Styela clava: one gene and its partner. The protein of the gene in region 1 purifies or fractionates together with the protein of each later gene. This does not show direct contact. Links are inferred from orthologs where the notes say so. Each region holds a gene or a part of one and is shown in the gene's direction. Other genes may lie near its edges. The genes, in order: serine/threonine-protein kinase stk11-like and COP9 signalosome complex subunit 4-like.

Evidence for each region.
Region 2: the proteins of serine/threonine-protein kinase stk11-like (region 1) and COP9 signalosome complex subunit 4-like purify together in Homo sapiens (affinity purification with mass spectrometry; 4 studies listed by BioGRID and IntAct, with this or other methods). This does not show direct contact. The link is inferred for Styela clava from reciprocal best matches to the Homo sapiens genes STK11 and COPS4.

What each region holds. Positions count from the first base shown.
Region 1 is NC_135250.1:8,661,571-8,679,011, forward strand, and holds the start of serine/threonine-protein kinase stk11-like, read left to right. Parts: upstream 1-9,272; 5' UTR 9,273-9,398; coding exon 9,399-9,553; intron 9,554-12,190; coding exon 12,191-12,394; intron 12,395-13,603; coding exon 13,604-13,777; intron 13,778-16,650; coding exon 16,651-16,783; intron 16,784-17,425; coding exon 17,426-17,441. Other genes in the region: protein ILRUN-like, read left to right, coding at 2,623-3,507. UniProt on the Homo sapiens protein: Tumor suppressor serine/threonine-protein kinase that controls the activity of AMP-activated protein kinase (AMPK) family members, thereby playing a role in various processes such as cell metabolism, cell polarity, apoptosis and DNA damage response.
Region 2 is NC_135260.1:11,651,064-11,667,957, reverse strand, and holds COP9 signalosome complex subunit 4-like, read left to right. Parts: upstream 1-3,960; 5' UTR 3,961-4,179; coding exon 4,180-4,256; intron 4,257-4,970; coding exon 4,971-5,050; intron 5,051-5,160; coding exon 5,161-5,312; intron 5,313-5,791; coding exon 5,792-5,917; intron 5,918-6,358; coding exon 6,359-6,490; intron 6,491-7,682; coding exon 7,683-7,843; intron 7,844-9,093; coding exon 9,094-9,254; intron 9,255-9,458; coding exon 9,459-9,574; intron 9,575-10,292; coding exon 10,293-10,377; intron 10,378-10,500; coding exon 10,501-10,640; 3' UTR 10,641-11,182; downstream 11,183-16,894. UniProt on the Homo sapiens protein: Component of the COP9 signalosome complex (CSN), a complex involved in various cellular and developmental processes.

The sequences.
Region 1 (17,441 bases):
GGACAATATACCTTCTGTACGTAATCGTGTTGCCATGAATATATTACTTTCATTAAGCGAAGTGATCGTGGTAATTTCGGAGCTATGTAATGATAGTCAATAGTCAATTTTATTTTTTCCAACCAGCAAAAAAATAACATACAAAATCAAAAGATAAACAAAATTTAACACACATTTTTACTGGGGAAGGGAAGCCGCGGGGAACCAAATTTGGTTATCGAGCAGCGACACCCAAATGATATGATGATATGATTTTAGAATCACGGGTAGGGCAACATGAAGCCACAAACAGACAAAATATACAACGCAATGTTTTGTGCATATAACGTAGCCTACGTATCGCTCAAATATATATTTCCCGTAATTACAGACCTGAACTTGTTATCAGTTTAAAGTTAAGCTTACTATGATCAAATTAGTTTTATGTGCGAATTCTTCGATTATGCATCTATCGTTTGTTCAAGCACTTCTCGCCTACTTGATGAAAATGGGTCGTTGCCAGCCTAAGAACTCATTAACGATCTTCGTCCGCAACATACATACATGCCTTGCTTGATTCTTCTGGTAATAAACAATGCGATTGCGTCTGGTCGTCTCGTCGAATAATCACGTTCAGCTGCTAGGTATACATTGTCGTAAGAACGTGGTTGTTCGAGTGTTTCAAATAGTGTTAGAAAACACGGGTTGAGACAAGGTAGATTCAACCAAGATAAAATTCAAAACTTAGAATTAAATATTTATAGATATAAAATGAACTTAACTGGCAAGAACAAAGTAGACCTTGCCTATGTCATCTGTCTCGTTTATTTTCTCAATCCACTTTCAACCGGCAATTTGGTTAGTAGTTAATTTTTTTCAATTGTGAAATTTGCACAAAAGTACTTCATAGTCCCTTCTTCACTAAAATCAATGGGGTATATATGCTCATTGCTAAAACCATAGATATCGGGTGATATTCGGGGGCTTTTTACGGTGAGTAACAAAGGGCTACAGTGTAGGAGCTGGAGTCGCATTTTCACATTTATAGAATTCAGCATTATTGGATTTCGATTTCATGAAACCGCTTTACTACCTTCAAATAGTTGTAGCCTACCATGTTCAGTTACTTTTTACGCTAAGTCTGAACCAGCGTTGCAGGTGTCGCCACGTGAAGACCTATCGGGGCCCCCGCGACTCCGTTCACACAATTAACGTTAACTAATTTCTTTGCACTATTTTTTGAGATGAACAATAAGCGACAACTGGCTAGCTTGGTCACGTTACTACGTATGTCTCTATGTTACGGAACTGTTTATGAACGCAGGCAGAATCGGTGTCATAACTTCTTTATGTATAAATTCAGATATGTTTTTTTTTAATTAAACCCATTTATTGTTGTTTAATCACAGAATTGGGGAATCTTCATGCACCCAATTCTGGCAACTTTGGTTGGGCAACTTGGCATTTGACTCCAACTATAATCAGCTTGGCAATATGTTTTCAATCGAATCTCCCTTCTATATTTTAATTAACGATTAAATGATCGATCAATTTGACAATGGCAACCATTACAAAATTATCAATATGGTGTGGCAAATAATTTTTTTCTTTTTCTAGTATTTATTTTTTTTTTTGTTTTGTTTACTGTATAGTATACCCTAAATTTATCGCGTTTTATTCTTACTTAAATAACTTCTCAGTGATTGAGTGTGTGTGGCTGGTGGGTGCATGTGAGCGTGTGTGAAATAACTTAATAATTTTAGGTGAGTAAACACGTACCACTTCCTCTTGGCAAAACCTCCCATCTTATATTTTGTACGTTATAAACCTTATCTAAGGTTTCGTTTGCTCCCCTGATTTCATAATCAGTTTTTATTTATTTGTTTTTATCTGTCAAATGTATTGTTATGCTGATTATGGAGTCGAAATAAACTTATTATTATTATTAATTACCGGATTGAAGAGTTCACAGTCTGACAGTGGTCAGTGGTGATATCACGTTTTCTAGTTTTTAATTTGATTTCCATTCTTGGAACAGCATGTATATTTCTGTGTGTTCGAGGACTATAATAAACTTCAAATTTCAGTGCATTTTTCTTTTCTGGCCAAAAAACAGTTACAGCTTTAGTCTATGTAAATGGGATATTTGCTTGCTTTTGCTAGATCCTGTAGTACCGTACGGTATTCCCCTATTTTTCTACTTGTTATTCTATCACTTTTGAACCTAATTTAACATAAGTCCAACAGAGATGATCATCTGTACAGTATGTGAGCAAATTAATAAAATTCGATTATTAACATTATCAGTAGTCATCTATATATCCAGTATACATGTATATCAATATCAGTAGGCTATATGTTTTTCTTGTATGTCTATTTGCCTCTAAAAAGTTGAACTGATCAGCCAAAGTGGAAAAAAAGTCTTGGATCATCATGATAATCTTAGAGCTGTTTTACCTATTTTACGATTCTAATATGTGGATACATAACTTATATAATTTTATCCCACTTTATATTCTAATCAAAATAATTCTTTGTAATATGGAATACTTCAATCATAACAAAAAATTTATATTCTGCCGAAGGGAAGCTTTCAAAAAGTTATCAAATACTATAATAATTGTATTAACTTCCACAGACCTAATGGTTCATATTCTTATGTCATTATTTGATTTCTCAGAGAAACTATATCCTAGAGGTGACAGTAAAATGGAGGTCAGTTCTGACAGTGAGATGGACTCCATCGAAAACTCACTTCTTAGTCGATTTCAAGCAATGGGAACCACAGATAAGGATGTTCTGATTTCTCAGTTTCAAAGCCTTTTAGGATTTCAGTTAAATCCCGCTGGATGTGCATTTTTTCTTGACATGACGAACTGGAATTTGCAGTCCGCAATTGGAGCATATTATGATTTTGAAGGTGCTCCGCAAAGTAAGTTGCCATCAATGACATTTATACTTGATGTTACAGTCGGTGAGGGCGAGTCCGTACCTCCAAATACAACATTTGTTAAAACATGGCGAGTGCAAAATTCCGGGAAAGAGGAATGGCCACCGGGGTGTAGTCTTCGATTTTTAGGCGGAGAAAAAATGGGAACAATTGATTCAGTTTCAGTTCCAACAGTACCTGCCGGACAAACAACAGACATTTCAATTAATTTAAGAAGTCCGGTGGAACCCGGTGTATATCAAGGGAGATGGAGAATGTATAACACCACAGGGACTCCTTTTGGTGATATTATATGGGTCATAATATCAGTTAAACAAGATGGACTTCTGGACATCACACAACAAATTTCAAGAGTTAGCTGTGACTTTGGGGAGGGTGCTTCGGTTGGGAAGAATGACCAATTTTCATCTCAAAATATGAATTCGATGGAAACCTCACCAGAAGATGACATGGCTTGTGATGATCCTCTGAATGGATTAGACTATTACAATGCAAAATTAAGCCTAAAAACATTATGTCATGCGAAAGCGCTCCTAACAAGTAAAACTAATCAATATTATGGTGCCACCAAGGTATAACAACTTTGATCATAAACTTTTTTATATAATTAATATTTATTTAATTTATTCGGATCCTTCCACTGCAACATCTTGGTTGTGTACAGTTAATTGTAAAAGTAATGTTTATTTAATGTTTTTGTTTTGTATATTTTTTCATAACCAGTTTGTGACTAGGATTTGGATGCTGGACTATTTTTTTCGGGATATCTTGCAACCCTGCATTCATCAGTACTTTTTTTTATGTTGTCTGCTATTTGTATAAAACCCCATTATTTGTATTACTGGTAGTTCTCCATCTGTCAAATCATCACACAAACGCTGATGTGAACTCATTTAACGAGGGTGCAAAATTCACAAATATTACAATGCTCTACAATCCACACCCTCACTCTTTGATTTAAACTTGAATATAATAATCCATATGAAATTGTAAAGGATGCTATTTGTTGTGCTTAATTTTATTAAAGGATCATATTAAAAGTCAGTTTCTCTGTTTGTCACAACTACTCTAACACGCAAGTTATAACTAGGAGTGTGCATGTCTTTTACTCTGTTTTGTAAAAGTTAAATATATTCTGATTTAATAAGGGAGATTAAATTTACTTTTTTACTCGAGGCTAACCCCATATGACAACTCACGTGACCAGTTCAAATTTGCTTGTTGCTGCTTTTTTGTTATGCTTTCACATCTTCAAGTTTTCAAATGCATGGATTTAAATGATGGAACTATAACAACCAACCTATGTGGATTCGAAAATTGTTTCAAATTGAAACAAAATATAGGCTTCCTGCCCATAATCTATGTTGGTTTTTAAATTCATAGCAGAGTGGTGCTGTTTGATGAGTCCATTTCCTTTTCTATATTGGCCCGATCTAAAAAGCGGTAGGCAAAATCAAGTGCTCTGTTCGTTTCCTCTTGATAATCATCATATATTGAAGTTTGGTGCACATGGAATTCATAACTTACCTTTTCTGTCCTCGACCATATTCTTGGTAACATTGTGGTACCCAAATTAAAAACTGAAAATTTGTGTTGTGTTGTTTGATTGGTAATATATTTGTAGGACTTGATTGGCAATGTGCAATTTTTCATTTCAAGAGATTTATGATGTGACACTGGAACTCCATTAATAAATCTAACATTTCTTTGTGAATATTTTTATCAAATTTTAGAAGCTATTGTAAATTTATATTTTTAGACATATTGAAGTATGTTTAGCATAAATTTATTAGATATTTTATCTAATTGGTTTCAAACAATAAATGAAGTCTGCATGAACAACTTATTTTCAAATCAAAATGCGGTTTTTGACGTATTGAAAACTAGATTTGTGATATCTATATTTACCATTTGAATTTCCTATATACAACCATTTTGAAAGAACATTTTAAACTGGATATGTTTCACTGTCCTGTGAATTGCTGAGCTATGGGATTTTCTACTTGTTTAGTACCTATGGGCTTTAACCCATAAATTTCTTGTGATAGGTTCTTAGTATTTTCTTGCACAGTTGTTTTACCGATTCCATACTGGTATATCAAATTTTGGTCTAGCCTTGTATTCTTGACACCATAATATTCGCAAATTTCTACAATGTCTGAAAAATATATAATTACAAGCATTTCACTCTTTTGTATCCTGTGTGTTGGTTAAAATTTAAACAATCATAAACATCTGTGGAAATTGAAGACATTTAGATCTGCTGTCCAATCAAAATATGATCGGAAAGCTATAAAATTGTGAAAAAACTTATCGCTGGAAAAGAATGAAAATAGCGCAAGAAAAATATTGATTCAAATTAGCAATCACAGTATAAGTTAGAGGACATTCTCGCAAAACAAATTAGGAGACAGGCGAAACTTAAATTCCCGAATGGAAGCCAAAGTTTTTTTAAATTCCGAGTCAAATGTATATCTCAACCGACTCCACCTCCTTGGTAGTTAATTACTATAGTCCAAAAATGTTATTGATAATTATCGAAAAATAAATATACCACCTGTACGTTTGTTTGTTCACAACCTCACCTCCGTTCAATGAGGCGGTCTAATAATACACAAGCAGTGTTATCCAATAGGAGAATCTTTGGAAAACGGAGTATTCGAATTTCATCGGACCAAAGAAGTGTTAGTATAAAGTACAGAGTACACACGATGACTAAGCGGTATGGCGTCTCGTGTCGAGCGTTAGAAATACGCTTAAAATCACACCTCTGACAACCCTGCTGCAGCTCGCGGAATCGAATCCCGCTGGGAGATAATCATGCGCGAGAGGATTGCTAGAGATAGACTCCTTGCCGTCGCATGGCGATTGAACGGTTACGGCTTCCACTATCATGATATCGATGCATATGAATCAAATAACTGGCTAACTAATGTAGAATAGGATTGTAGTATTTCTTGAAGTAATCGCGAGGTACGATTCGTGTGAGTTTCAAATAATTTTATGACGCTAGCCTTTTCAGTAACGGGAGAGCGCATTTTAGCAACAACAACAAAAAATTTGGTACTCCTGAAGTATGCGCACCAAGATGTTGCACAACCTGAACCCTAACCTGGTATACAAGCTGAGTTCAGGTTTTGCGTTCAGTAGGTTCAAAATAATTTTGTGTAAAATAAAAAAAACAGATAAACACTTTTAACTCTTTTTTATAGCTTCGTCAAAGGTTTTTACCTCGTTTCCGTATCATCATTGATAATTGTATATGCTGCGTGAATATCATAGTTAATAAATGTTTTCGTTCTGGTATTTCAATATCAAAATAACCTAGAAAAGTGCAGAATATTTCTATTATTTTTTATTTATCTCTTTATCAAAAGATATTGTGACCTGATGACGGAGCAATCTGTGCTTTACAATTCACTCTTGTCATTCGTATATTTTTCAGAAACTTTAATGTTGATTCTTTTGAATGCTCAAATAGGAAAAATTAACTCTGGCTCTAATTTTTAAACTGCCATTTCCTTAATCTGAACCGTTCTAGACGACCTTGTACTGAATGATAGAAGTTATGGTTCAAGTTAAAAAAAAGAAACTTGCTAAATGTGAATGTGAATTTTTGAACTGTCATTATAACAAATCGAAAATTTCAAATTTCAAATATTCGCTAATCAGTAGTTTCAATATATAAATATTATTTTGAGGAACCGAACGAGACATTGTTTCGACTTGAACGAATAGCTGCGACCAATGACATTAAATGACATTGTTTCATGTCATTGCTGCGACCAACAACTAACGTTGCGACTGTTATGATTAAAATCTGTTCTAAAATAGAGCATGTTTAAAAACACGTGTAAGATTATGAAGACGAATTTTGGAAGTTTTGACTTATTTACCATTTTGAAACCCGATTTGGCCAGTTCAGTGCAACTTCTGGGTGTTTCTGGAATTGGATTTTCCGACGCGTCTGTTTTATTTTCTTATTTGTAGGCTATTTCATCCAATTCTTCGTAAGCAGAGTGTATTCACGAGTCTGAAGCCATTGGTGGCCTCCGTCATTCCTACTGAAACACACGAAATGATGATAAAATGATTACTGTAAATAATAATTATATGTTTTAGCTTGAATTTATGATAGTGTTGTGTTGTAGGTTGGTGTTGATGCGGAAGCGATAGCGCTTATCGTTACTTCATCAGAAACTCACTCAGCCTTTTCAGCCCCACCTCGCAGCGGTAATAACGTTCGTGACTCCATGCGTCGCTATAGCTTTTTGCGGCGATCCTGCAGCGTTTCGTTCGTAGGTACTTGACAATTCGACGTGGGCACGGCAGTAGGCGCAGCCGCCCCGAGACCTCGTTTTATATTACTGTATTACGGTGTACGTTAAAAAGCGTAAGTTCTGATTCTCAAGATCTTTAAACTAAAATTGTAAAGATTACCGGTTATTTACTAATCACAGAATCGGGCTTACCAATACTGCAGTAGTCTATACAGTGATAAGATCGTAATTTTCTTATTACAATATTGAGACAAGGGTGCTGTAATTGAGAAGTATGCACGCTTAATGCTCAAGATGCTGTATACGTATATCATTGTTGAATATAGCGTAGGAATCTGATAATTGAATGGCAAATTGGGATCCAATTCAGCAATTTGAGTCAATTTCCTAACACAGTACAGCAGTAACAGCTTCTAGTCAAAAGTTGAGTCCTCTTCATTGAGTCATACAGTCATAAGTCAGTGGGTTGTGTAAATCCCATGAATAGCAGTAAATATGAGTCTGATTAACTAACCTCACACATGCATTGGGGTCAATCTATTTTGTAAATCAAACTGGGTTTCAATCATGTATTGACAACTAGGGCTGGGCATTTTCGAATACCGTACCTGATGATTTCAGAATCGAATTGAATATTTTTATCGAATCGAATCTCGAATACTTGGGAGTCAATTATATGCTAATTTTTATTGTAATTGGCTCTGTCAACAAATGTATTACTGAAAACATGAATAAATCACTAAGACAGATTGTGGAGCGTTCACACACAATGAAAAGCACTTATTTATCAATAACTCGATAAGAAAATAGTCATATGTCAGAATTGTATTGAAAATTATGGCTTCAAAAAAAAAATTGGGTAATTCACCTCGACCACTGACGGAAAGAAAGAAAAATAAGATGGCGGCGAATCAAAATTTCGATTGAACCGATTTGAAAATTTACTATTCGAATCGATTCGGATATTCGATTCGAAGTGCCCAGCCCTATTGACAACATTCACATTGCCTTCCAAACTGCCTGTTTTGAGGTATTGTTGCTAGTGCCCGATATGTGAATGCTGCTACAATCTGGGAAAGTTTTGGTTATTTCAATTCAGTAATCTACATATTTTACTGCGGGTTTACTTTCAGACTTTAGGGGTTAGTCAAGTCTTACTGTCTTAGTTCTAGTTAAGTCTTTGCCATCCTAAACTACGTACAATGCTCAGCAATGTTAAAATAGTAGAAAAAGGGACTGCATTATCCATTTATTGAGAATGATTTACTGACACCCTCTTCTGGCTATTGCCAGATTATGCAGTGAACAAACATATCTATCCAGACCAAATTCTTCATGCTATCTATACCGCCATTGTTGTTTGATTCATAAAGGGATGTCTATTGATTGAATAGGGATATCTAAAATATATACTTTGAACAAAGTTCGAAATATTAACATTCAGCAATCAAAAAAGTTATTTTCATTATTGCCTAATTTGCCATTTTTGCTCATGTTATAATTTGACACAAAATACAGAAATAGATCCATTCGGAATTTAAAAGAGTATTGATTGTAAGTGAGCGCAATACAGAATAGCAAGTTTGTCATCAATATTCATTATTTTTTGATTAATGAAGCCATTGTGTGGTCGATTTTCATGCCTCATTAAACCCATTTAAGCAGCTGCCATAGTTTGGAAGGACTGGAATCTTTTCGGGATTGTCCGCCTATTCTGTTATGCCCTGGGTTAGGTGGTGGGCATGATTTCCATGTTATGTATATGGTGGTGTACAAGTTGATAATAATGCATAAGAGCATATTGCGATGCTGCTTTGTACATCGTGATGACATTTTACGCCTTGTGATAATTTAATTTTTCAAGTGCTATTATGGGCTTGTTACATTGTGTATGACAGAAAGGTTCACATTTTTTTTAACTGACTGGCATTATTTATGTTCTGTGAAACATCTGTGATAAAGTTTTGCCAATTTTCAGTTCATTTACAAGTTTCAGAATATTACAAGTAGCCTATTTGACCTGTCCAATATGATACCATTTATTTTTATATTTTCAATGTTTACAGTGTATAGCATGCTTCATTTTTTGTCGTATTAGTATCATATTCATCTCAATACCAATTAAAGTTAATGACTCAATAAGTTGAAATTCCCTGTCAGTAGCTGCCGTTAGACTGCTGGCAAGTGAAATGTCTCATGGAGAACTTGCAGTTCTTGATAACAGGATTGAAAATCAGATGTCAGGTGCTACATTTGACGTTGGTGGATCGGAAGATGAATATCGACCAGACGTTCAAGAACATACTATGTGGATAAATCCAGATCATGGAGCCCTTTTTACAAGGTCAATTGAGTTGGTTTAATAAATTGTTTATTTGATTATGAATATGCACATATATAGGAATTATTTGTAATAACCAATTATTTTTCACTGTGTCTGCATGTATTGGTCATCAATAAAACCTTATCTAGGATTCCTGCTGTTTTGCCAATTAAAATGCCTAATATCTTCTTTAGCTTTACTTTTATGCATTACATATCCTTGTGGATTTTAGGAACATAGATGATCTCGGCAAAATTTCTATCTATACTAATTACTATGTATCCACTGTAAATAAAAATGGCGTGAATAAGAGGGTGTTAAAAAGGAAATATCAACAAAGGATTTTTATTTTATGAATAGCGTTTCTTGGTGTACATATTTGCATTTATGATGTAACAATGTTGCTGTTAAACAACTGTGCTAAATTCGTGCTAGGGAATTGCTGCATATTGCATGAGGTAGTACTATATCGAACATTTGTGAAAATTGTAATCTTTTACCTCAATATATTCCAACTTTCAGACGATTTGCCAAATTGCATGTCATAGCTCCTCAAAATATCTCGGAATATGCCAACCTTATGAACATCCACCCACCCTAAAATCATGGGGCAGACACCTTTACCAAAATATTCTAAACTTATGGAATTTGACATTGACATATAATATGCTAATTGGCAACGCTGGTCTAATATACTTTTCATGCACTTCTAACCAATGGGTTCAATGAAGCGATGTTGCCATGTTGATTTGCTAATCTGATAAAGCCAATCCTGAATTCACATTAGTAATTATTAAACGATTTGTAAATTCTTTTCAAGCAATTTATTGTATCTACTTTTTCTGTTCCATGTCATTTATTGACATAGTGCATTCCTACCCATACAGTATTATGTCGTCAGTATTTCAAGCGATAAAGAAACAGCATTTGGATCATTTCAACTCCCTATAGATCTATTTTCACTCATGTTAATCTTGTGGTTCAATGTCTTATCATCACCTGGTATGTCTCATTGCCTGAACCATAATTAAAAACAGCAATTGCATAACATTAGTATTTCCACAGGGATGTGTACAGAGATCCACATAATGATGAATGACTCTTAGCATGCGCATAAACGTTACCATTTGTATATTTGCTGTATTACTGATTCATTTTTATTAAGCAGTGGTTCCCAATTGTGTGTCGCGGCGCATTAGGGATAATTTTCGAATGGGTCACAAAATACCCATCTAATTTCCAAAATTTTTTTATCTGTCTGTATTTGAAACTTGACATAAAATGATAAAATTTTCAAGAAAATAGTACTGCTAACTATATCGGACATTCAGCTGCGATATATGATCGTTTATGTGCACAAAAATAAACTCACATAATGTAAGGATTATTGAATGTTTACAAATAGAAACTTTTTTTGTCTTAGTTGTTGATAGAGTGAAATTTTTTTTTCAATGTGGTTTGTATTGTTGAAATGTGTTTCGAGTTTGAAGTGTTTGAGAACCTATTATACAAAGTGACAATCTTTGTGGATATGACCATTTTTGTATGAATACTTCATATTCAAGTGTTGGAGTAGATAAAAAAAACCTTGTGGTAAAACAGGCAAACATCATTGTTAAAATTCTGATGCTAAATTTATTTTGTGCATAATCAATGCCCACAGTCTTTACTGTGTATAAGCCATTTGTAGCCATTTATAAGCTTGTTACACGACGCAGATTTAATTACAGCAGAAAAAGTGTGTGAATATCTTATATGAAGTTCTAATTAACAATATAAATTTTTAAATTTATATAAAAGTATGTGTATAAATATCATAGTTTAAAGAGTTTGACAGCTCAACAATGAGCTAAAATTTTATGAAACAGTAATTCTATCTTTTCGTTTAATAAGGTATATTTGGAATATGTAAATATTAAATTTTAAAGTGCAATCATTAAAAGTGACTTTGCAAATATACTTTATATTTCTTTAAATTGAAATATGTATCGTATGTAACTTGGCGATAACTTTTGGGGATATGAGCCTGCTATTCTGTTATTGATCATCTTTAAATGATTTATAGAATATATAATCCTAATGATTTTGGGTGGATGTTTCGGCTAGAGAATTGATTCGTAAAGAACAACTGCGAAAATCCAATTACAATATGAGGAAATTCTGTGGGTTTTAAAACTTTACCGAGTATTCTGAAACAAGTAAAGATCAATTTGGGCAGAGCCACTTTGAAAAACCATTTCACTTCAGGGAGCAAGTTTCATGGTTTCAGCAGAATATACATTTTGTTTAAACTTATCGCCATGATAATGAAGTCGCTATTTTAGGGTTCTTAAACTTTCATGATCAGATCCATGACCAGTTATTTATTCGCCATGTTAACACCACAATGCCAACAAATGAGAGAATGAACGCATTACGTAAAATAATTAGACAAATCACAGTTAATCTACAATAAATCAATTTAGTAATTGCTAATACTACCTAACCTAAACGTGCTTCAATCGTGGCCCCCAATAGGAATGAGGGCCCAGATTTAGAAACCCTCGGTTAGCTATTGTCGCGAAAATGATAGATAACTACTCGACTAGCAACATGTCATAATCTAAATTTTCTTATTGATACATTGATAACTAATAATAATATACCATTTTTCAACAGAGTTGATTCTGCGGATTTAATTTTCAATCAAAGAAAACAAGCAAAAATTTATGGAAAATATTTATTCGGTGATATGCTTGGTGAAGGATCATATGGAAAAGTGAAAGAAGTCCTGGACACGGAAACTCTATGTAGAAGGGCAGTGAAGATCGTCAAGAAACGAAAGCTGAAAAGAATTCCAAATGGAGAAGCGAACGTAAAAAAGTAAGTTGAATTTATTTTTTTCAAATTCTTTCTGCATACATAATATTTAATTAACTGATGAATTTCAGAGCAGTTATGTGGAATTCATCTTGTCATGGCTGTTTTTATGATCGTATTGACATGAAATGTTTAACTTTCGTTTTAATCGATGTTTACCAATGTACAATAATACACCATAATTCTTTCTACTGGGAGTCTCAGTAGCTCTTGGCATTTTAGTGGTCGACATTATCTTCGCTTACAGACTAAACTCTTCGATTTCTGCGGTTGTGCGTGTGACTTTGCTTTGAGCAAATTTCAAGAAAATCAATTGAAATTTAAAAAAAGGATAATATCATGTTTTAGTTGTATTTATCGACAATATATTCACTTGTTAGACTTTTAGGTCAAGTCGTTTTTATAACCTTCTCTAAGTTCTTTCTTTTAATGAAAAATGACATATTATGTTTATACTTTTGAAATAAATTGGAATATCTATATAATTATTTTAGCATTAAAATTTGAATTGGCCAATCTTCTGTTATGTTGTTATTTTGTATCCTGAACCTATTTGCTTTTGTTCGCAAACGCCTGTTTGTTTTGTTCATGTCTTGTATCCGCAAATATTTACTCCTCTTGGTAAATTCAGTGCCGGTAATTTAACATGGGCAAATATTTTTGCTGCTAAATAAAATTGATTTGTTATTATGTGGAATGTGAATTTGAGCGTTTGCGGCTTCGTGGACCTATAATTGATTACAGACATAGTACATAATTGAGCCTACCTACCGGTAAATATTTTTAAAATAGGGTATTGAATTCGGAAAGATAAATTACTGACACATTCAAAGTGCACCCAACAGGACGACCCTGTTCGAAGCGAAATATGTGAATAATTGTCGTATAAAAGATTTAAAAATGAAGAAATTTTCTGTTCTTCCACATTTGTATGGAAAACGGGTCGAAAAACATGCCGCTTCAATATAACATAAGAAACTACTGTCTTTTTGTGAAGTTTATCGTTTTCATGGTTCAGGAGAGCTCATTCAATTTATTATGCCATGGATGAGATGGTTGGCATGAATAGACCACCGAATGGGTCGGTGCTCAAATCAGAAATCTATCACCTGCATTTTTAACAATAGTTGGAATGTATGAACCATTAAACCATTAACTGTTGTGTATTACCAAATATCAAAAATGAATAACACCAAAATTTTCATTTTGAAGGGAAATAGAGCTCTTGCACAAACTACATCACAAAAACGTTATTGAACTTGTCGAAGTTATGTACAACAAGGAAAAACAAAAGTTATACATGGTCATGGAATTCTGTGTTGCAAACGTACAAGAAATGCTTGACAGCGCACCACAAAAGAAATTCCCTGTCTGGCAAAGCCACAAGTATGTTGATTGAATTCCTTTGAATCTGTGTTAGATAAATCGCATGCTGTTAACAGTGTGAAAAAATTATGTATTGCATCTTCAATCAAGTGATTTATCGTTAATATTTTTGGATTGGTAGGAAACTAGTTGTCTTTCTGGCTTGAGTAGATCAATTTTCTATCATTTTTCATTGAAATTTGGATAAACTTATTTGTTCAAAGCCACACAAGCCGCAGACAGAATAACAGTTCTTTAAAATATTCAAAATTAGCAAATGTTATAATTTCACTACAAGAGTCGACATTTCCAATTTAGAATTCAGGGCTTTTATAATAAGATCTTTCAATATATGGAATGTTTCAGTATGCCAAAAATCAGGTTTTTCAACTTATGATATCACAATTAGCCTAAAAACCTGCTACCAATTAACCAGGTAAAAAACCTGCCTAGATAATGGTATCATATTGTAAGAAGTATAAGGTGTTTTACCTGGTTTTAAGCTTTTTATATGAAAACATGAATGACATAACGCATGTGTTATTCTAAACCTTTTTTTGGTATTTGGTAAGATTAGATTTATTTTGTTTTGTTCGTACTACGCCATTCATTCATATGGAAAATAAGAATAAATTTTATGACTTAATAATCATATTCACCTTACTGTATATATCTAGAAAGCTGTTTTAAGACAAACCAAGATAGTAACGGAATATTATTATTTCTTCATTTTGAAAATCCCAGCTATATTTGGTGCTGTTTATTGTATTCAACAAAGGTCAAAATTCATTTGTTACACTTCGGTCACATATTTCGGTATTACCCATACATTTCAGATAGAGATAGAAGAAGTATTTAGTACCTTGTTACTCAAAGCAACAGTGTGAAATATATAAATTTGATTAACAGATGTACATTTAATGTTATGTACTGGGTCTAAAGTTTCGAGTTTAAAAGTTTAATTGCGTGATAATTATCTCACCAATGCAGAAAATGACTTGCACTATTAACTTTTTAATATCGGTAGCTGCAATTGTAATATATGGGGTATGGCCATCCGGTTTTGCTCATTTCGTCTTATCATTTTCAATTTGCTGGAATATGTTTGAAATGAACTCTTTTTCAGTTTCATCATACTTCTGTCTGTTCCCATTTTGTATATGCCCCATTGATTGAGTAGGTAATTCATCAATGGTTTATTTTGACAGAATAATGATTGCACACTGATAACTTACTGCACTGGGACTTGAATAACAAATTAGAAATTTAATTACTGGTACATTTGTATTTACTGATATGTGTAATTGATTTTTGAATATTTATAACAAGTTACAACTCCATTTAGAGAAACAAAATTTGAGCCCATGAAGTGGTTATCCAATATCTCTGTTCTACTTAACTGTTAAACCTAAAAATCAATAAATATTTTTAATATTTTCCTCTTTCAAATATGTATTGATTGCATGCAAGTGCCTGGATTCAAATTTTATCCTTCCTCATTAGTATCAAGTCTTGCATCACCAAAGTGTTATTCTCATAAGGGAAATTAATTAGTTACATTTGATTGGTCATGACTAAATTGGCTTCATTAATTTTTTATGTTCTATCTGCTGATTCGATTAGAGGAGTGATAAAAGAAATAATTACTTGTGTGTACCAGGGTGTAATGATTATTGTGTTAAACTCATCACTGGGGTCACCTAGCCGAGGTTCAAAGTGATTTGAGCTGGTTTAGTTCATTTCAGTTCACGACTGAAATCTGTGGATTCAACTTTGTAGAAATATCAAATCTGAAATTTCAATCACTCCAAAATTTGAAATACCCAGTAACCTTGAATTTAAACTTGTTGCAACACCAATCGTAATTGATCTGGTCTAGATTAATACGTCATGAATTTTCCTAAATGTTTTCATTTTTTTTCTAAATGTAAAGATTGTGCATGCATTTGCAACTTGTTTTTGGAAAATCATTGATAGTTCAAATTTAAATTCCACATCCCAGCAATACTTTTTGAAGAGATTTGTTTTGACTTTATTCCAAAATTTTTCTATTCAACGAAACATACTCTGTCCCTGCTACTTATCGTACTCAGTCTGTTCAAAGCACCATTAATCTATTACTGTATTCTCAAAGCTATATTTGTGGTGCATACGTGATCAATACCATATACCTGTTCTATATTGGCATGAAGTTGTAATGATTTTGTTTAAATTCTAACTCTAGTAATTTGCATTCAGCTTTTAGCTAGATATCATAATCTACCAAAGGTAGCAGTTGGGTATATCAGTGAAAATTATGAAATAATGAATCTCAAAACACTAATTGTCAAAATGAGATTTAGAATCCTGCAATTTTCGGTATTATATAAAAATATATCTCTCATCAGTCTCATATATTCTGGTAGTTGCAATTTTCACCTTTAAAAACAAACGTTCAACTTAATCAATCAAAAGTTGGTTTTGGAAAATTAGGTTAAAACCCACTGTTGTATTTAAACTTGTACCACTTTGAGAGAGAGAGATCTGAAAAAATAAGAATATCATACCAATAACAACAACACAGACAGACCCTGAACTCGTAAAGAACTAAAATAAGGAAAATCTGAATAAAATTATGGCCTAACCCTAACCTGGTACACATACTACGGGAGTACCCATTTTTGACATTCACACTTTTATCGTGGAACTCCCAAACTGATAAATTATGCCTATTAACACCTACGGTACCTATAAGTGCCTAAACTCATGGTATTTGAGTACCATGATGCGATAGAGATAAGGTGTGACCTTTAAAAATGTTATCGTTTTTATTTACCATTATACAAGAATTTCATATAAAAATAATGGTATTCCGTAGTTTCCTTCTTTATTCAATTCTTTTTTTTTACTTTCAGCTATTTCTGTCAACTTATCATTGGTTTGAGTTATTTGCACAGTCAGCATATTGTACATAAAGATATCAAGCCTGGAAATCTATTGATCGCCTGTGATTCTACATTAAAGATATCAGATTTAGGAGTCGCAGAAGTATGTATATGATAGCAATATCAATGTTTATTTTGTTGGTTGTGGTTGGATAATCGGATAAAATATGTAGCCTATGGAATGTAGAAACTGTGATGAACTGATGTTTTAAATGTGGAATGTGGTAAAGCTTAGTTTACATATGAGGAAAGCTAATAGAACAGCTTTAATAATGTGGAAAGCTGCCGCTTTTTGTACCATTGCCAATTCAGGTTAAAAATGAGAGCTTTTATTGTTTTGTCATCATCACCTGCTTTTTTGGCAATTGCATCTTGCATGTAATGAACATAGATACAAGATGTTATTAGGTTAAGCACAACTAAGTATTTAGATCGCTACGATTTTTCAGAATTTTCAGAAGTTTTGCTACGGCCACTGCTATCTATGCGGTCATAGCGGGGCTTGTACTCTCCGTACAGCCTATGCTTATTCCAGATATAAATTAGTGTATTTAGCCAGACTCTCGAAATAAAATTACTTTACTTGTTATTTTTGTACATACCAGAGTTGGAAGTTAATAAATTGTAAAGGCTGTATTATTGTTCATTATCCTTATTTTCTACTCAGACTGGGCCTCAATCCGTTTTGCATAACCGGGCGTCGCTATTTATTCAATCAGCTATTTTTCATTTCAATAAATTTCAGGCCCTGAATATGTTCT
Region 2 (16,894 bases), on another chromosome or scaffold:
GGCTATTCCAAGTGACGCTACTGGACAATTTTAGAAATTTTGCATGTTGTTAGATGCAATAGCCTATTTTTTACATTTCCAGCTACAAGTTTTGTGTTATTGTCCAATCAGTTGCTTTATGGGGTTGGAACAAAATTGCACAAAACTTACATACAAGACTTACTTAGTGGATATAAAATATATATTAAAATATAGCGAGACTCCACAGGACAGCAAATCCACCATGCATTACCGTTTTACTGTGTTGATGGTGCAGTAGCTGAAGAACCCCTCTATGAGTTGCTTAATAAGTAACTTACCGTAATGTAAAACTGTAGATCCATGCCAATAATGGGCACAATGTATGTTACTCTACCGGCATGACTCTACAGAACATTTGCCCCATTTTGGAACAGCACCCTCTATCATCTCTTAAAATTCTGGTAATAAATTGTTAGATAGATGAAGACATGTCCTACAGCACTGCAAACACCTAGGCTTTATTGACTTAAGTTCCATTAGTGGTGGTACCCTAAAAGTCTCATTGCACGCAGCGCATTAGGAGCAGCGCATTCAGTGCATCTATTTCTGTATTTGAAATTAAATAACTGTACCACATAATCAAACATTTCATGTTACGATTCATCACAAAACGTGCCTATTATATCAAAATTTCGGTGCTCCTGAAGTATGCGCACCAAGATGTCGCATAACCTGAACCCTAACCTGGTACACAATCTGAATTCAGGTTGTGCGCCATCTTGGTGCGCACACTTCAGGACAAGTGCAGTTTCAAGTATTTTGTGGCGTCTACAGCTGCCGCAAAACCATGGCGGGATTTCCAAACCATGGCCACTAAGACCAAACCCACGGCGACTGACTTTTTAGCTGCCACAAACCAATAGCGAGCTGCCGTGGTTGCGGCAGCAAATCGAATACCACCAATTTTACTGCCGTAACCACGGCAGGTCGGCTGTAATAGCAGGGCTGCCCCTAATTTGCTGATGGTGATAAATACTTGGTGAGTTGGAATGTTTTTCTTATGGATACAGTTTGGATGGATTTGGGGTTAGGGTTTAAGTAGATATAATTTCGCATGATAAACTAAAATATGGTACATGAATTTGTAAATATACCGGTAATAGCGCCATAAAACCATGGCAGGAGACGGCGTGGTACGTTCGTGGCAGGAGCTGCCATGAAGTGGTAAGAACTGCGCCTCCTTCAGGAGGTCCAAAATTTCTTTATTTCAGGCCACTTTGTGTAAATTATCAAAAACCTGGGTGTAATTTTAAATTTATCCATGAAATGAATGCAGTCCAATAACCTTCAATTGTCTTTTGATATAAAATATACAAAACAATTACTTTCACTTTTTTCACAATTACTTTTTTTTATAAATTGATGAAATTTAACATTTGCTTGGAATGGCCCATATACAGATATATGATTGAGAATACCTGAATTCAAATATAAATCTATAAAAATTTCAATTTCAAAGGAAAAAAACATAAATAAAATGGTGATGGCAAGATCACTAGGAAAAAAATATAAACAAGATACTGAGATATGTTACAGATATACAAGGAAAAAAAGATCATTATGTCAAATTGGTTATTGGGCTTACAATGTTAAAAATATCAATTTCCCCCTCCCCCCAGGTACTGTAAAAAGTAGCCTACTGAAGTAAATTTGAATCTGAAAACAGCTTACATAAATTACTGGAGAATTATCATGATTCAATCTAAAACGAGAAATAAAATTAGGAAATAAAAAAAAGAAAAATATATAAATACAGATAAAAATCAGTAGAGAAAATGCCCATGTTTGATCCCTGATAATACAATAAAAGTTAAATTAAGTTCTCATTCTCACATACTCAAGGGCCTGAATAGAAAATGATATGCTGATCTTATTGCAGAATTGGAACTAACTCTGAAAGGCTGATTTAACTTACAGGTTTTGGGAAAATAACAATCTTCATGCTCAGCTAATAATATTTTTGTTTCAAATTTAGTATGATGAAATACTGAAATAGGATATGGTATTTTGAACTCTGTTATCCAGTTATCAGGTCTTGGCCAGTCTGGATTTCATGGCCTTTTTGAACGAGAAATCGGGCGTGCAATCAGAAATTCCCGCGTGCAAATAAGAATTCCTGGCGTGCAATTATAGCTCACGACGTGCAAAACAACTGCACTCGCGTGCAACTGACTTCGACATCAGATACCTCTCAATACATCCGCGTAAAATTACCGGTATCGGATAAAAAATACGTTGAATCAGAGAAAAAATGGACGTTTGACCTTTGACCCCAAACATTATTTCTACAGTTTGTCGCCAATTTTGAGAGTGTTTGTGCGACTTTGGATACCGGTACTGTTTAGTACATCCGCGTAAAATTATTGGATAAAAAATACGTTGAACCAGAGCAAAATGGACATACTTAGTCATTAATTTTGGTAGTGTTTTTACGTAGAATTAATGGATAAAAAATACGTCAAATTAGAGCAAAATGGACGTTTGACCTTTGACCCCAAACATTATTTTCATACTTTGTCACTAATTTTGGGAGTGTTTGAGCAACTTTAGATACCGGTACTGTTCAGTACATTCGTGTAAAATTATTGTATAAAAAATACGCTGAATCAGAGCCGTACTTGGCCATTGGTGCGGAGGCGATCTTTTCGTCCATAACTATTCTCACGGGATTCCTATTTCCTATCATTCAACACGATATGGACCTTTCCCCGAGCATCGACTTCCTTGTTTACTTCGTGGCTTTGGCCAATCAGCAAGATGCAAAAAAGGACGTAACAATGAGAGGAATTTTTCGCGGGTCAAAGGTTGGGGAAAGGTCCATTGTCTTTTTGCTTCGCAATATTTCGATCAGACCAAATCTTGCAAGCTGGTATTTGTCGACAATTGTGGAGTTATAATATTTTGGCATCTTTATATTACTGGATTATTGATTTTAAAACCATTTAAACCGATTTACATTGGTGAGCAATTGCAAATTTTCGGCGTGCAAAATTGATTTCGCTCGCGTGCATTTTTGCGGAGCGCTAGCGCCCTCGGGCGTGCACCTGCCATGGAATCCAGTCTGGGGTCTTGGTACAAAAAAGCAAACCCAACCGAAAATTCGCAAACGTTTACAGGTTTAATCGAGACTGTAAGTATAAGTTTATTTCGACTCCATAATCAGCATAACAGTAAAATGATTGGTAAATAAATAAGAACTGATTATGAAATCCGGAGACAGGATGAACAAACAATAATAGGCTACAGTAATAATTTGATAAACGTAACCTATCCTGACCTCACCGTCGTGTGGCTAACGTTAACTATACTAACATAAATCGAATTTTTTTAAATATATGACAGATAACGATAGATTCAAAAATTTCTACAGTAACGAAACATATAATAACTTATCGTATCGTATCCCCCAAAACACCCTGTTTCTCCAACTGCAGCAGAACTACACCAAGTCAACGACATTACGACACGCGTAAAAACCAAAGACGTGTAGACGAAGTCATACGCCAGCAGCAGAGAATGAGCGATTGGTCTCGTGTTCGACAGGAATAAGCACCAATAAATGTTTGAAAATTACAACAGGGTGGCAGGTTCAAGTCCATTAATTAACATAATATTCTTAGTGTAGCAATGATAGACATCATATACATTGATAGAAAATATACGTAACAAAATATCCCCATAAAACAAACAAAAACAGTTTGATCGATTTTGCGATTATTGCTTCGGTTCTTCAGTTCGAAAAGTGTGTTGGGAATATTAGTTATTGACTTAAAGTTAAAAGTTTTGTTTAAATTGTTCTATTTTATTATTTGAAAACCAGTTACAACCATTAACTGCAACCACGCTGTGTTGTACAAATGTATTTTCCCCGACCTTTGACACCAGAAATTTTCTTCAATATTTTTCGGTATTATATTCCAGTGTTCACAATCGCATAGTTTGTGGAAATTAACCTCCGTTCCTCTTTCTCAGTTCAGTAGTCACTGCTAGTGCTTCATAGAAAAAACACCCCCTCTACTCTATTGCTAAATATAAATTTTCAGTCCTGAGAGTTTCAACGGATTTGAGCATTTATTGAGTATGTAGAAAAATTTAGTTCTTGATTCCGATATTATCAGTTCTGTTAAAGAGAAAAAGTCTATCCGAATAAAAAGATATATGGCAGCCAACATTCGCGCTGATTTAGCTGTTCTCAATAATGCTGCCAGCAGTTCACATAGAGATTTATCTGAAAGGTGAGATAAATTTATGCTTGCAAATGTAACTAGTGATCATCTTCTGACTACTGGACTAAGCAATGTATTTTATTGAATCACACAATTAACATGATTCAAATGATATCTATCAATTTTGTCTTACTCTGCCTTGGCATATTGTTCATTTGAAGTTGTTCAATATTTATCTGAATATACTGATATACAATTACCTAGTTAAGCTAGTAAGGAATCCATGTTTTTCTTGCGTTTTGCTGTTGGTGGTATAGAATTAATATATTTACCGTTATCTTTGGGCTAGTTGGGATAAGATTTACTTTCTTTACATTTTTATGCCCTCAAACTTTCTCAATCTCTACTATTCTGTCATTATTATAAAATGACATAGGTTTTCTATTCATAAATTGCTTCTGGTTATGTTTTGTCTCCACAGACAATGTGTATTTCTCAATGCTGCAATGTGTACTTCCATTATTGTTTTTTCAAGTTTTTTTGTGAAAATAAATTCTTCCTTTCCTCAAATTTTCAAGCTTATCAAACGGCATATTTTCCTCAGTCCATAGAAAAAGTGTGGTAATCTGATAGTAACAGAGACAAAGAACTGTGCTAGCTCACAGTAAATGCATTGGAGTCTTGAAAATATTATTGCAATCCCTTCACCTGTCTGCCTGTGTATTAGTCATCAATCATAAATAAACATATTTCAGGACATGTCTATATTTTTATACATTTCAGATATCAACACATATTAGAAGCATGCTTCAAGTTGGTTGATAATGAAAAAGTTTCCGCATTGAAGATGTTTATAGATGCAAGTTAGTATTGCTGAATATAAATTTCAACTTGAGTACTGCGAATATATGCATGTTAGGCCCTTTATATGTAATTATCCGTTTACCTTATTTTAGTTCTTATTGATTTTTAGTGGTGAATGAAAATGTGAGTCAAATAGTATCTCGTCAATTGATGACAGAATTTTGCCAACATCTATCTCAGCTTAATAATGCTATGTGTAAAGAAGTTTGTCATTTTGCACTGGATCGAATTCAACCAAGAGTAATTTCATTCGAAGAACAGGTATTTTTATCAAGTTCATGAAAAATGATTGACAAAGGTTAGATATAAACTGGGATGTAATCTATTTTCAGTCGTTTAGCATGAATATTTGTTATCATTCCTATGCCTTTCTAAATTAAGTCTGTGTTTGAACCCCCTTTTATTTTTTTCTTTCACCCTTATTACACCTGGAGTAACTCCTTGAAATATAACATCAATTTTTTTTTTAATGGTATTTAAACCAACTGATATATATCCTATTCTGTTTAGTTGGCTATATGGTTATCTATCATGAAGTTTAAAACTGTGTCCTTCCCTGGCATCAGGGTAGTTTTAGCGTGCAGGCAAAATGTATCTACGTAGTAGTAGGCTACATGTTTTAAATTTCAAATTCAAATAATGTAATAAGAACTCAAGTTCATGAACCTATCAAGGTTTCATATATTTGTTTTTATATAAAGGTACACGTCTCATAAAAACATCTTTAAAATACTATTCAGGTTGCTCAAATCAGACAACATTTAGCAAAAGTTTATGAAGATGAAGAATCATGGAAAGACGCAGCTACAATTCTTGTTGGAATTAACATTGAATCAGGACAGAAACAATATGATCATGATTATAAGGTAACTTTCAAAATATGAAATACCCAGTTTCAGCTGTGTAACTTGAAAAAGTTGATAATGAACTATATGGCTGTGATTATGGGTCTGAACATGACTTTTCTTTTTTCATCATTGAAATTTCCCTCAATTATTATTCGCCTTGGGTTAGTTTGTTATCAGTGAGATACGATACCCAGTGTTCTTAAAACTTTCTTCATCACAATCCACTTGGCACAGCTAATTTTTTTGCAACCCCCAGGAACTGAAATGAGTAAAATTTAATAATACAGAAAATATTGAAAAAAATAATAAAATTCTCGCACCAAAGATCAAATCTTGCCTCCATTTGTTTCCAAATGTGACTGATATTTTATTTCAACATAAGTTAGTGCAGAAAAGATTTTACTGCGACCCCCATTTAGCCTTTTTTCTAAGTATAATACCTGTACTTTCTTATTTCAGTTAGAAACATACTTGAAAATTGCGAGATTATTTTTGGAAGATGATGATCCAGTACAGGCAGAAACCTATATCAATAGAGCATCTATGCTACAAAATGAAACCAAAAATGAGCAATTACAAATCCATTATAAGGTGAGGTTCTTACTATATAGATAAAGAAAAAAGATAAATTTACAGCGGATTCATACCTCGGACTGGTTGAACGAAATCTTGACTTCCTACTCTAGCCTTGAATTGCAAGAAACCCAAGTTTTCATAATGAAAACTTTTCAATTCATTACCTCAGCGGTTTCCAAACCTTTTGTTTGTGCGGCGCCATCGAAAAAGAATTGCTGCTTTCATATGTGTACTTTATGTCTTTTGAAGATTGTAAACATGTGTAGGCTTGAAGAATAAAGACAAAAAGTCAATACTAAAAAAATCACCCATGCTCGTTAACTCTGTACAGCAGATAATTCATGACATTGCATTGTGTGTCTACCTCTATTGTTGCGTGACAATAAAGGCAGACACTATGAAACAGAAAGTAAACAGCATAGAAATGTGAAATGTATTATTTGTTTATTCATATAAACAGCATTTAAAAAAAGAAACAAAACATTTTTAATAAATACAACAACAGAAGTGGAGTATTCAATCATATATTAGTTATATTTAACATATTTATGTTAATTTTCGGGGCGCACTTAGAAATCGCCACGGCGCACCCTTTGGGAACCGCTGACTTTGTTGAGAATGTTTATTTAACCTGATGGTTCATGAGTTTCAATTGTTTTCGAATTTTAAATTCCGATACCATCCTATAAAAATCCGTAGTTCCAACTCCCAACTCTGTACAATTCAAAATATCGACTTCAGACTCGAGTAGGTTTGAAAATAAGGCCCCATATCCTACTTCATAATCAGTAGGAATGTAGAACGCCAACTCCACTTCTCTGATCCTAACTGCAAGTTTTGGTGCTCCCGAAATATGTGCACCAAGATGGCGCACAACCTGAACATAATATGTGTACCAGGTTAGGGTTATCAGGTTGTGCGCCATCTGGTGCACATACTTGTGGAGCGCCCTAGTTTTAATGATTTTCACATCAATGCTAGTTTTCTGAGCAAAAGAATTAAATGAACCCTAAAAAATTAAAAACTTTGTTGAGTTCAATTGGTATTTGCTGATGCTTGCTAACTTTCTTCTGATTTGAGTTTCCTTTCCCCTACACCTCATGGCTTATGATCTCTCTTGTACCAAATTTATGAAAATGCAATTTGAAAAGTTGAAGTATGTTATTATATCAATATCAATGTCCATATCAAATCATATGTTATTCAGGTATGTTATGCAAGAGTGTTAGATTACCGCAGAAAGTTTATTGAAGCTGCTCAACGATACAATGAATTATCATATCGAACTACGATACATGAGGACGAAAGAACGAAAGCATTAGAAAAAGCTTTACACTGTGCAATATTGGCTCCAGCTGGCCAGCAAAGGTAAATTACTCCATCAGGTTATAATCTATGTATCATATTATACTTCAGGGTGGTCCAAACCGCTGCCTGCCGACACATATTGTGCGGCCCGCAGAACAATTTTAGTGTGCAGTGTTGTGCACTAAATCATTGGCAGATATTTGTATTTTTTGGCAGAACATTTTTGAGTTATTTTAAACTATTCCCGCGAACTGGGAATAGCCCTTTTCCTAATCCCGATGTTGGGATTCATGTTTGTTTCAATGTTGTTTTTATAAACGTCAATACGGTGCCAGTATGGGAATGACGGCCTGTGATCGGTATAAGATGATGGATTGTCTTGTGCAGACAGGACCATGCCGATGAGATGGGTCGTGCTTTTTATCAAAAATTCGTACCTTGAGCTCGCGTCAAGCAACTCCTCATTTGGAGAGCTGTTTTGTGCCTTTATTTTATTAAAGCACTTCTCTATTTTCAAGCGTTGGCCATGTGGCTCGGCTGACTTAGAGCCAAGCAATCCAGTTTTTTTTTAACTGGGTCCGGAGTTCCAACTTAGACGAACTTGGTTGTTCTTTGACAATAGCACCAAGCCTGCTCTTTCCACAAGTAATGAACTTAGTCAAATATAACAATTCATCATACAATGAGTGTAAAAAAAGGTGACCGAGGTAAACGCAATTCCTAACCCACAACAACTTTTAACCACAGTGTCTGGTGTGTTTTCAAGTAATATCTGTCACGAAAGAATATAATTTGAAGCGACAATACAAAACCGAACACAAGAAAGAATACCGAAAATACCACTGTATTTCTCGAGGAGCAGTTTTAAAATAACTAAATGCTTTATATATCTACCTTATTAAAAAACTGATTAGGACGAAAAACTCTTTTCTAAATATACGTAAAGTCGCGATGTTTAGATCAATTTTGGGTTTTTTCTGACCGCGACTCGCAAAACATCCACAAAAAATTTTGCGGCCCGCCGACCTCTCAACCTTGGACCACCCTGTTATGCTTTATATATAATCTTTTCTTCGATTGTATGCCTTATAAGCCGGTGCGCCTAATGTATGGATCAGGTAGTTCTTTTTGCTTATTGCCTACAATCCAAACGAGTATTGTTGTGTCTTATTGCCCGATGCGCTATATGTATGAATAAAAACCCAATCTAAGCAATTGACAGTGCGCTATTATGTTCGATTTATTGTATCTATTTTTGAAATACTACGATACTTGTCTGATGAAAGTATGATTTTATTTTAATCTTTAAGATCAAGAATGTTGGCAACTTTATTCAAAGATGAACGATGTCAGCAATTATCTTCATTCGGTATATTAGAGAAGATGTATTTAGACAGAATAATTCGTGCCGATGAATTAGAAGAATTCGCCAACCAGTTGATGCCTCATCAAAAAGCAACAACAGCAGATGGTGAGATTTTTTTTTTTGAAAATCCTCTTTTAATGAATGTGTTGAACCATTTTAGGTGAAAATTTTTTTAATATTTAGAATTTCAGCAAATGGTTTTGAAGATTATAGTCAGTAGTGTTTTGACATCTCCCTCTGCCTTGAAACTCCATATTTTCACAATTATATGATGAAAAATAAAATACAGTTATGACTTATATTTCACAGGAACAAGTATTCTTGATCGTGCTGTCACTGAACACAATCTCCTTTCTGCCAGCAAATTGTATAACAATATTACATTTGAGGGCCTCGGCGCTCTCCTTGAGATATCAGCAGATAAGGTATTATTCTGTTTGTCATTAGAATATAATATAAACGAGAGATTTCTAGATTGAACATTACCTTGGACACTTATACACGATGCTCAATTTCACAAATACAGGTTATTCTTTAAAGCAGGGCTTCCCAACCTGATTGTCACACCCTGCTGAGGGCCGTGCACGGATTTTAGGGGGCGCAAAGAGTACACCAATTCCACACATAGTACTCTATGTATTGTACTTTTTTAGACTTTTGATTGGAAACACAATTATTAAAACTGGTGCAAAACATGAATTTTACAATTTCAAGAGAATACATGGGATCAGAGAATGCTAACCTTGATTGTAAAACCCGAGAAGATGTGCGCTTGCATAACAATGCTGACTAAACAGAGGTTGCTGAAAACATTATATATTAAAAAGTGGTTGCGAGATTAAAAATTTAGGAAGCCCTGTTTCAAAGCTATATTGATTTATATATCTATCCCAGTGTTGAATAGAAGTACCGAAGCCCCAAGTCGAGCCAATCTCTGAGTTAAGTTTCACTGGTGGTTAGGTGATGGCAAGTTGGAGTCTTTTAATTTAGATGGCTTGAGTCTTTGATAAATGGTGATATGAGTCCAACTCTGGTTGATTTAATGACTCAGAAAACATCCCAAACACTGATCCATCCCCACTGCAGTTAACATACACCTATGTGAAGCTGTGATAACCTTTTGTTTGCATTGATGCTTTTTAGGCAGAAAAAATTGCATCACAGATGATAAGTGAAAACAGAATGAGTGGTTATATTGATCAGATTGATGGCATTGTCCATTTTGAAAGTAAGCTTGTTTATATTATTTTACTCTGCTATCGTATAGCATTAGCAATATACTCAAATGCAGTCAATTGCATTATTCAAGATGAAAAATAAAATTAATCAAATGTACCATCTATTTTTAAAGCAAGGGAAATGTTACCAATGTGGGACACTCAAATTCAATCGTTATGTTTGGAACTCAATTCTCTGGTTGATAAAATAACAGCAGCACATCCAGATTGGGCCGCAGAAACAATGGAACAATTAGTTTCACCCAAAGACTGATATTGAAGATTACGCATTATGAATGTGTCTACAAGTTTAAGAGCTGTGAGCAACTTAACTCAACTCTGTGCAAAGCCGTTCAGAATTTCACCCTTTGTATCGAAGTAGAGGTTCACAGTCAATGTTGAAATTCCATTGTTTCAGTAAAGTTTTGCATATTTATATTCAATATTTGATTACTGCAATACCTAGTAATCAATGCTTTCAATTTGTTTCGCAAAGCCTGTGGTAATAGAATGATATTTTTGGCCTTTGAGACTCTTTTTTTTGCGATAATCTGGACTTATGGAACCATAATAGTTTCTAAAATGAGAAACATTGCAAAAAATATACTTAAAACACATGGATGACTTTACTTATTGTTAGAAGCCAGTTTGTTGGTTTGTTAGTCAGCAACGAATCACGATGGATATAATGTTTTGTATCAGAAACCTCTCTTCAATGAGTAGAATTTTTCTGTTAAAGCTGAGCCATTGCAATTTGTTGAATCATAATCCGGCTGTGACCCGTGAAGGTTTATATAAATATATTGATTACTATGATAGGATTTTCATATTTGTCATGGGTGACGCTGTCTGATTGGGATCCTACAGATTCGATATAATTTTTCGTCTCTATCCCGGGCTTCCAATGCGAAAATTTTCACTTTTATTGAACATTTTCTCTTCTGTTATGCTGTTAATGGGAGTCTAGATATATTTGTAGGTTTGAATGCGGTATCGTAATTGCTCACGGTATCGACAGAAGGGTTCGGAAGGTAGAAGAGTCCTTAGAAGATCAATATATAGGCTTTTTGGGTATATTTTTGAGCCTCTTCGAGGTAGGACTGCAACGCTGCGGACGACTTTCCGCCATTTATTATCTTATGCACAATCCTGGTGTGATTATCAGCAATATGACTGATTTATCCTGTTTTACATGGATTTCTGTCATGAGAATAGTCTCGAAATAATCGAGAAAGAACAAAAATCCCACTTCGAAAAACGAACATCGTAAGATAATAAAGAAAGATGCGATTTTTACGAGTGATATGAAAATTGTGTGTTCCTTTTTAAATGCGATACTCGAAAAACAATTGTACAATCTATGCTATAATTTTATCTGTCAAAATAATAACTTATAAGTGCGAGTTGTTCATGTGACCAATGACATTAAACAACATGATAGGCAACTCTGACGTCACTCCATAAGACTACATGCGAAAGATTGTATTTCATGATACGCTCCAATGCACATATTTCTCGTCGCCTTTCGCGACCGTTTTCCGCTTGCTTTTGCTAATCGGCGTCCTCTTTACGTTTAGTACCTGCCTTTTTGCGCCTGTAACGAAAGAAAATAATCTCTATATCTAAGAAGTTTTGCTCACTTGGAAAGCTGGAATGACATACAAGCTGTAAAGAGTAATTCTGGACATCATAGACTTTTTTTTATCAGAGAAGATTACAAACACGATAGAGTAAAGATTTGTGTGGGACATTTTGCAGATAATGACAAAGTTCAAAGTTAGTAATTTTAATGTTTGCGCTTAAACATTGAAATTTCATTTAAAGATGTGTCACACAAAACAGCAAAACTGTTTTTACTTCTCTTAACGGTGCTGTGATACAATTCCATAACACAAAGTTTGCACCTATCGAACTTGCTTTAGTAGGTGAATTTATTACACATTGTTAGACAAATTTATTGTGAGGAATTTCGCATGTAATTCTCATTGATTGGTGGCTGTTTATAATTCCTATTAATTGTGAATTCTGATTATAACAAAGAATTTACTGGCACATTTTTTTTGGTCAATACTCCAAGCTGAGGTAATAAACAAGACAATACATTTATGTCATCTGGAAGCAAAATATGCACACTAATTAAAAGTTTGACACATTGAGATAATACATCATTACAGAAAATACAAGTTAAAGATATGTATGACCATCACACGGTAATTAAAATTAAAAAAAAAATTATTAGGGGCTGTGGAGTATGAAAAGTTCAAGACAAAGAAAAGAACAAAAGTTCATAGCCCATGAACTCTCAATTTTGCCTCCATTGCTTTGTGAAGGCCAATATATTCCCAGTGGCTGAATTGGTTTACCTTTATGATAGCAACGATTTCGTATTTAATACGGCAAATTTTTTTTTCAATTCAATTGAAGTGATATTATTTCCCAAAGCAATGCTTGAATTGTCTAGAATAGATCAGTGGTGTCAAACTCATGGGTTTTCGAGAGCCGCATTGCATGTTGGAAATTATAAAAAGTGCCGCAAACAATTTTTGATAATGTATACTTGAAAGATATTTTCAAGATAGTTTTAGTTTGTGGCATATATTAGGATGCAACTAAACAGTTGGATTAAGTTTTATTATTTTCTTTAATTTCAAATGCAATTTCATGTTAATATTTGCATTCCACTATTATTGCAAGTTACTGTATTTATTACAAAAAATCATAAAATTTTATGTACAACCATCAAAATCATTTTTGAACAAGCTTTGGATAAGGAAAGAATAATACATACACTAAAAAAATGACTCAATCTAAATATATGGACCTAAAATTAACAAAATATCTAAAATATAAACTCAATGTTTTTTGACGTTTGGCATCTTTTTTGTGTCACCAGCATACTAAAGCCAGGATGAAATAATTTTATAGTACCAACTCTAACTAACGAGGTCACATGATCATGGGTTAATCTGGATCTTTGCGAATGTTTAATTAATTCCAGTAATGCAAAAAAGTTACTTTTATCATTTCATGTATAGATCAGTAAAAAAACAAATGACAGATTTTTTCGACAAGACATTTCGCGCCACATTGCATGGCATAGGATTGCTTGAATTATTATTGATATTTAGTAACAAAAAAGTTGTATAATTATATTAATATACAAACACATGGAAATTTTCTGTTCGAAGTTGGTCTTCGAATTTGTCATATTGACTGCTGAGCTTATTGTGTTTTTCATTGTACTGATGGAAATATGACAAATTAAACAATGTGCTTCAGAGAATTTTGTGAAATGCAGAAATATTGCAACTCCCATTTTCTTCGAAAATGCCACCTTCTTCATGTACTTTGCGTTTAATTTAATAACTCAAGTGTTTTATTCAAGTATTCTTTTGCTAGCTTGATGTGTATTCTTAAATGGGTTAAAATGTGAACAAAAAAAATTAATTTTTCAAAACTACTTTTAGTAAATTGTTTTCTGTGTGAATATTCAATTTCACTTCAAAAAGTTTGAAAAATCTGTTACATTTAGATAAAAAAAACTTCCAAAATACTTTTACAATTATTGTTAAGCTTTCGAGGCCGCACTGGAAGTTCTCTGGGGCCGCGAGTTTGGTCTAGATTGAAGTTGTCCAAAATATATACCAGTATTTTATCATGAATCATGATTATACCCTTTCCTGAATTTTTTCTATAGTACTACCAAAAGTTGATGAACCAAATATAACATAGGTGTAGTGACCCGTAATCCTCATTTTTCAAAGCTGTTTTAAGTATGCCTGGCATGTTTTGTGCTTTTTCACAAAGAAGACCGCTTATGCAATCTTACGCATTAGAATTTTTAGTTATTTTCCTCAAGCCTTGCAGGTTGTAGGGGCCATATACAACTCTACCGGAGGGTCAAATGCTTTTGCATGCCTTCATAGGTTGTTCTTCTATTGCAAACATTTATGGAGTATTCTAATTATATTTCTTGGAATCACACTGTCACTGATATGTCGCCAGACTTCTTCTGATATCTCCCCTTCTGCTACAGATGTCCTGTGAATAAATAATAGGAAATTGAGATTAGACGAATAGTTGAAAGTTTTGCTTTATGTCGGCTTAATTTTTTGATTAATATACTTACTATTTTTGCTATTGCCTCTTGTGCTGCAGGAGTCTCACAATGCTTAGACAGGTTTGTCCACAACTTTCACATCTGAATAAAGAGAGGAGATTTATTAATTTTCGTTAAGAATAAATAAAGCAGTCTATATGACTTAGAATGGAAAAGCTAATAAATCCAATATCTCATGTTTAATGTAAAAAATGTTTTACTGAATTTGGTATATAAATCAACTAATAAAAGGGTTTAGTCAGAAAATTACAAGCATTCGTGGCTCTAAATACTTGAGAGATCATACTATACAATATAGACCGGTATGAGTAAAATGTTAGGTGAACTTGTTAACCCTTTGATTCAATACGCAAATAAAAGTGAATGAGCAATAGTATGCTACAGCAATGAGTATATATTTCTACACTGATTAGAAAAATCTAAATGGAGGTGCATGAACTATTTGAAACCATAAAGGGTAAGTAAATATGCAATTTCGGCAAATGGGCAACTACGTACCGTATTGATTTGATAACTTCGTAGTATTTGACAAAAGCTGGCTTAACAGTGCTATGTCCGGGTGTGATATACAACAATAGTATTTACCTTACCTTTTTCCGATTTCTTTTTACCTTCAATTTTCCAAAATATCATTAAAATCGACAACAATTGTCAAAGCAGGCACGAACACCATTTGTGCTACGCCTTGAAAGCAGCACACATCCGCTCGTTTTCGTCTCGTCAAGTATGTGCATTGGAGCGTGCTATTGAATACGATCTTCGGACAAAAATGCCGGAGTTGCGCATCATGTTGTTAAATGTCATTGATGTGACTTAGTTTATTGGCGCGGCCGAGTGGCTCACCGTGCTAAGCGTTAGGAATACGCCCGCCACCGCACCTTTGATTACTCTTCGTGGGTTCGCACTTCGCAGGTTCGAATCCCATGCGGGAATGGTTATGTGTGAGAGGATCGCTGGACTCCTCGCCGCCGTAGTGTGGTTCACGTAAATAAATATGTAAATCCTATTCCATTGTAATATATTACCGGAGAAAATAGAACCTTTTAGAGGCAGACTCTTGATCCTTTGCTGTTATATCGAATTAACAAACATCACGGCTGAACACATCAACCTATTAATCCTTTCTGTTTTGGAGTCAGACCTTCCAAATAATTATTTGTTCGAATATCCGCATAGTTAGACCTAGACTTGGCCTAGACATTTAATTTCAAACAATTATTAGACACGAAATGGATCCATAGATGCGTTTCGCTATTGTGTTGTTGTTGTTAATGAATTAGTCCAATGAGCGTATATATGCTCATTGGCTGAAGCAAGGGATTTTGGCAGCGAGCAATGCGTTTTCTTAATATGCAACGAACCATTTAGCTGGACGACGTAAAAATGCAGGGAACAATACCAAAATGAGCAAATCTTTGCAAGTTTCCACTCATTGTATATATGCTCATTGATTAGTCTAAATTTGAAAAACAAAAAATATCTATATTATAAATACGAATTTAATTAGAACCCTTTTTTCTGATAATATAAAAATTATTACATATTACTTCTTTTTAGAAATCTTTTTCATCACGGACCCGTTAAATTTCCAGAAAAAAAAAGAAAAGTTGTATGAGGAACTCAAAACTATCGTTTATCTATTCTGACTGAGAATGGATCTCTTGTATAAAGCCCCCGCCAACAATGCAAAAATGCGAGATTTGACAAAAACTTTGTTGGTTTGTACATAAGATTCTGAAAATTTATTGAACCCGAAAATTTTTAGGATTGATGGGTAAAATTTCGGCCGCGAATTTAACAACAACTAACGACAGGAAGGGTTACGAGCTTATCGAACACAAAGTGTACATATTTTTGTTCAACTCTAAACTTACATTTATTCAAAGGGAAACCTTGCCTATTCCGTTTCCAACTTTCACGAGTTGTTAGCACTTGCGCGTCGCATGACATACGTATCTATCTGCCAGTTTGTCTTGTGTGCCATTACAATGGACGGGTTCGGTACCATACGAAACCACAGTCGACGCTCCCGGTAGGTTGCAAGTTTCCTGGTTTCATGCCATTGCGACTTATACTCAGTCAATAATTGTTTCGTTATGACTTTTGCTGCGGACTTACTCAAGGATCGGCACTTCGTAGGTTTGAATCACATGCGGGGTTAGTTACGCAGGTTTGCTGGACTCCTGGTCACCGCAGGGTAATTCACGTAGATGTTGGTCGGTTACGGCTTCCTTCACCATCAAGTTCATCATGCATCTGACAACTAAGAACTGGCTAACTATACCCGATCCCATTCCCGACATGATAACCGGACAAAAGACCCAATGTTCGCCATATGATTAAGCCGTCTTATCGACTTTCCTATGGGGATAAATATGTGAATCCCACCCTAGAAAATTTGTCCCAAT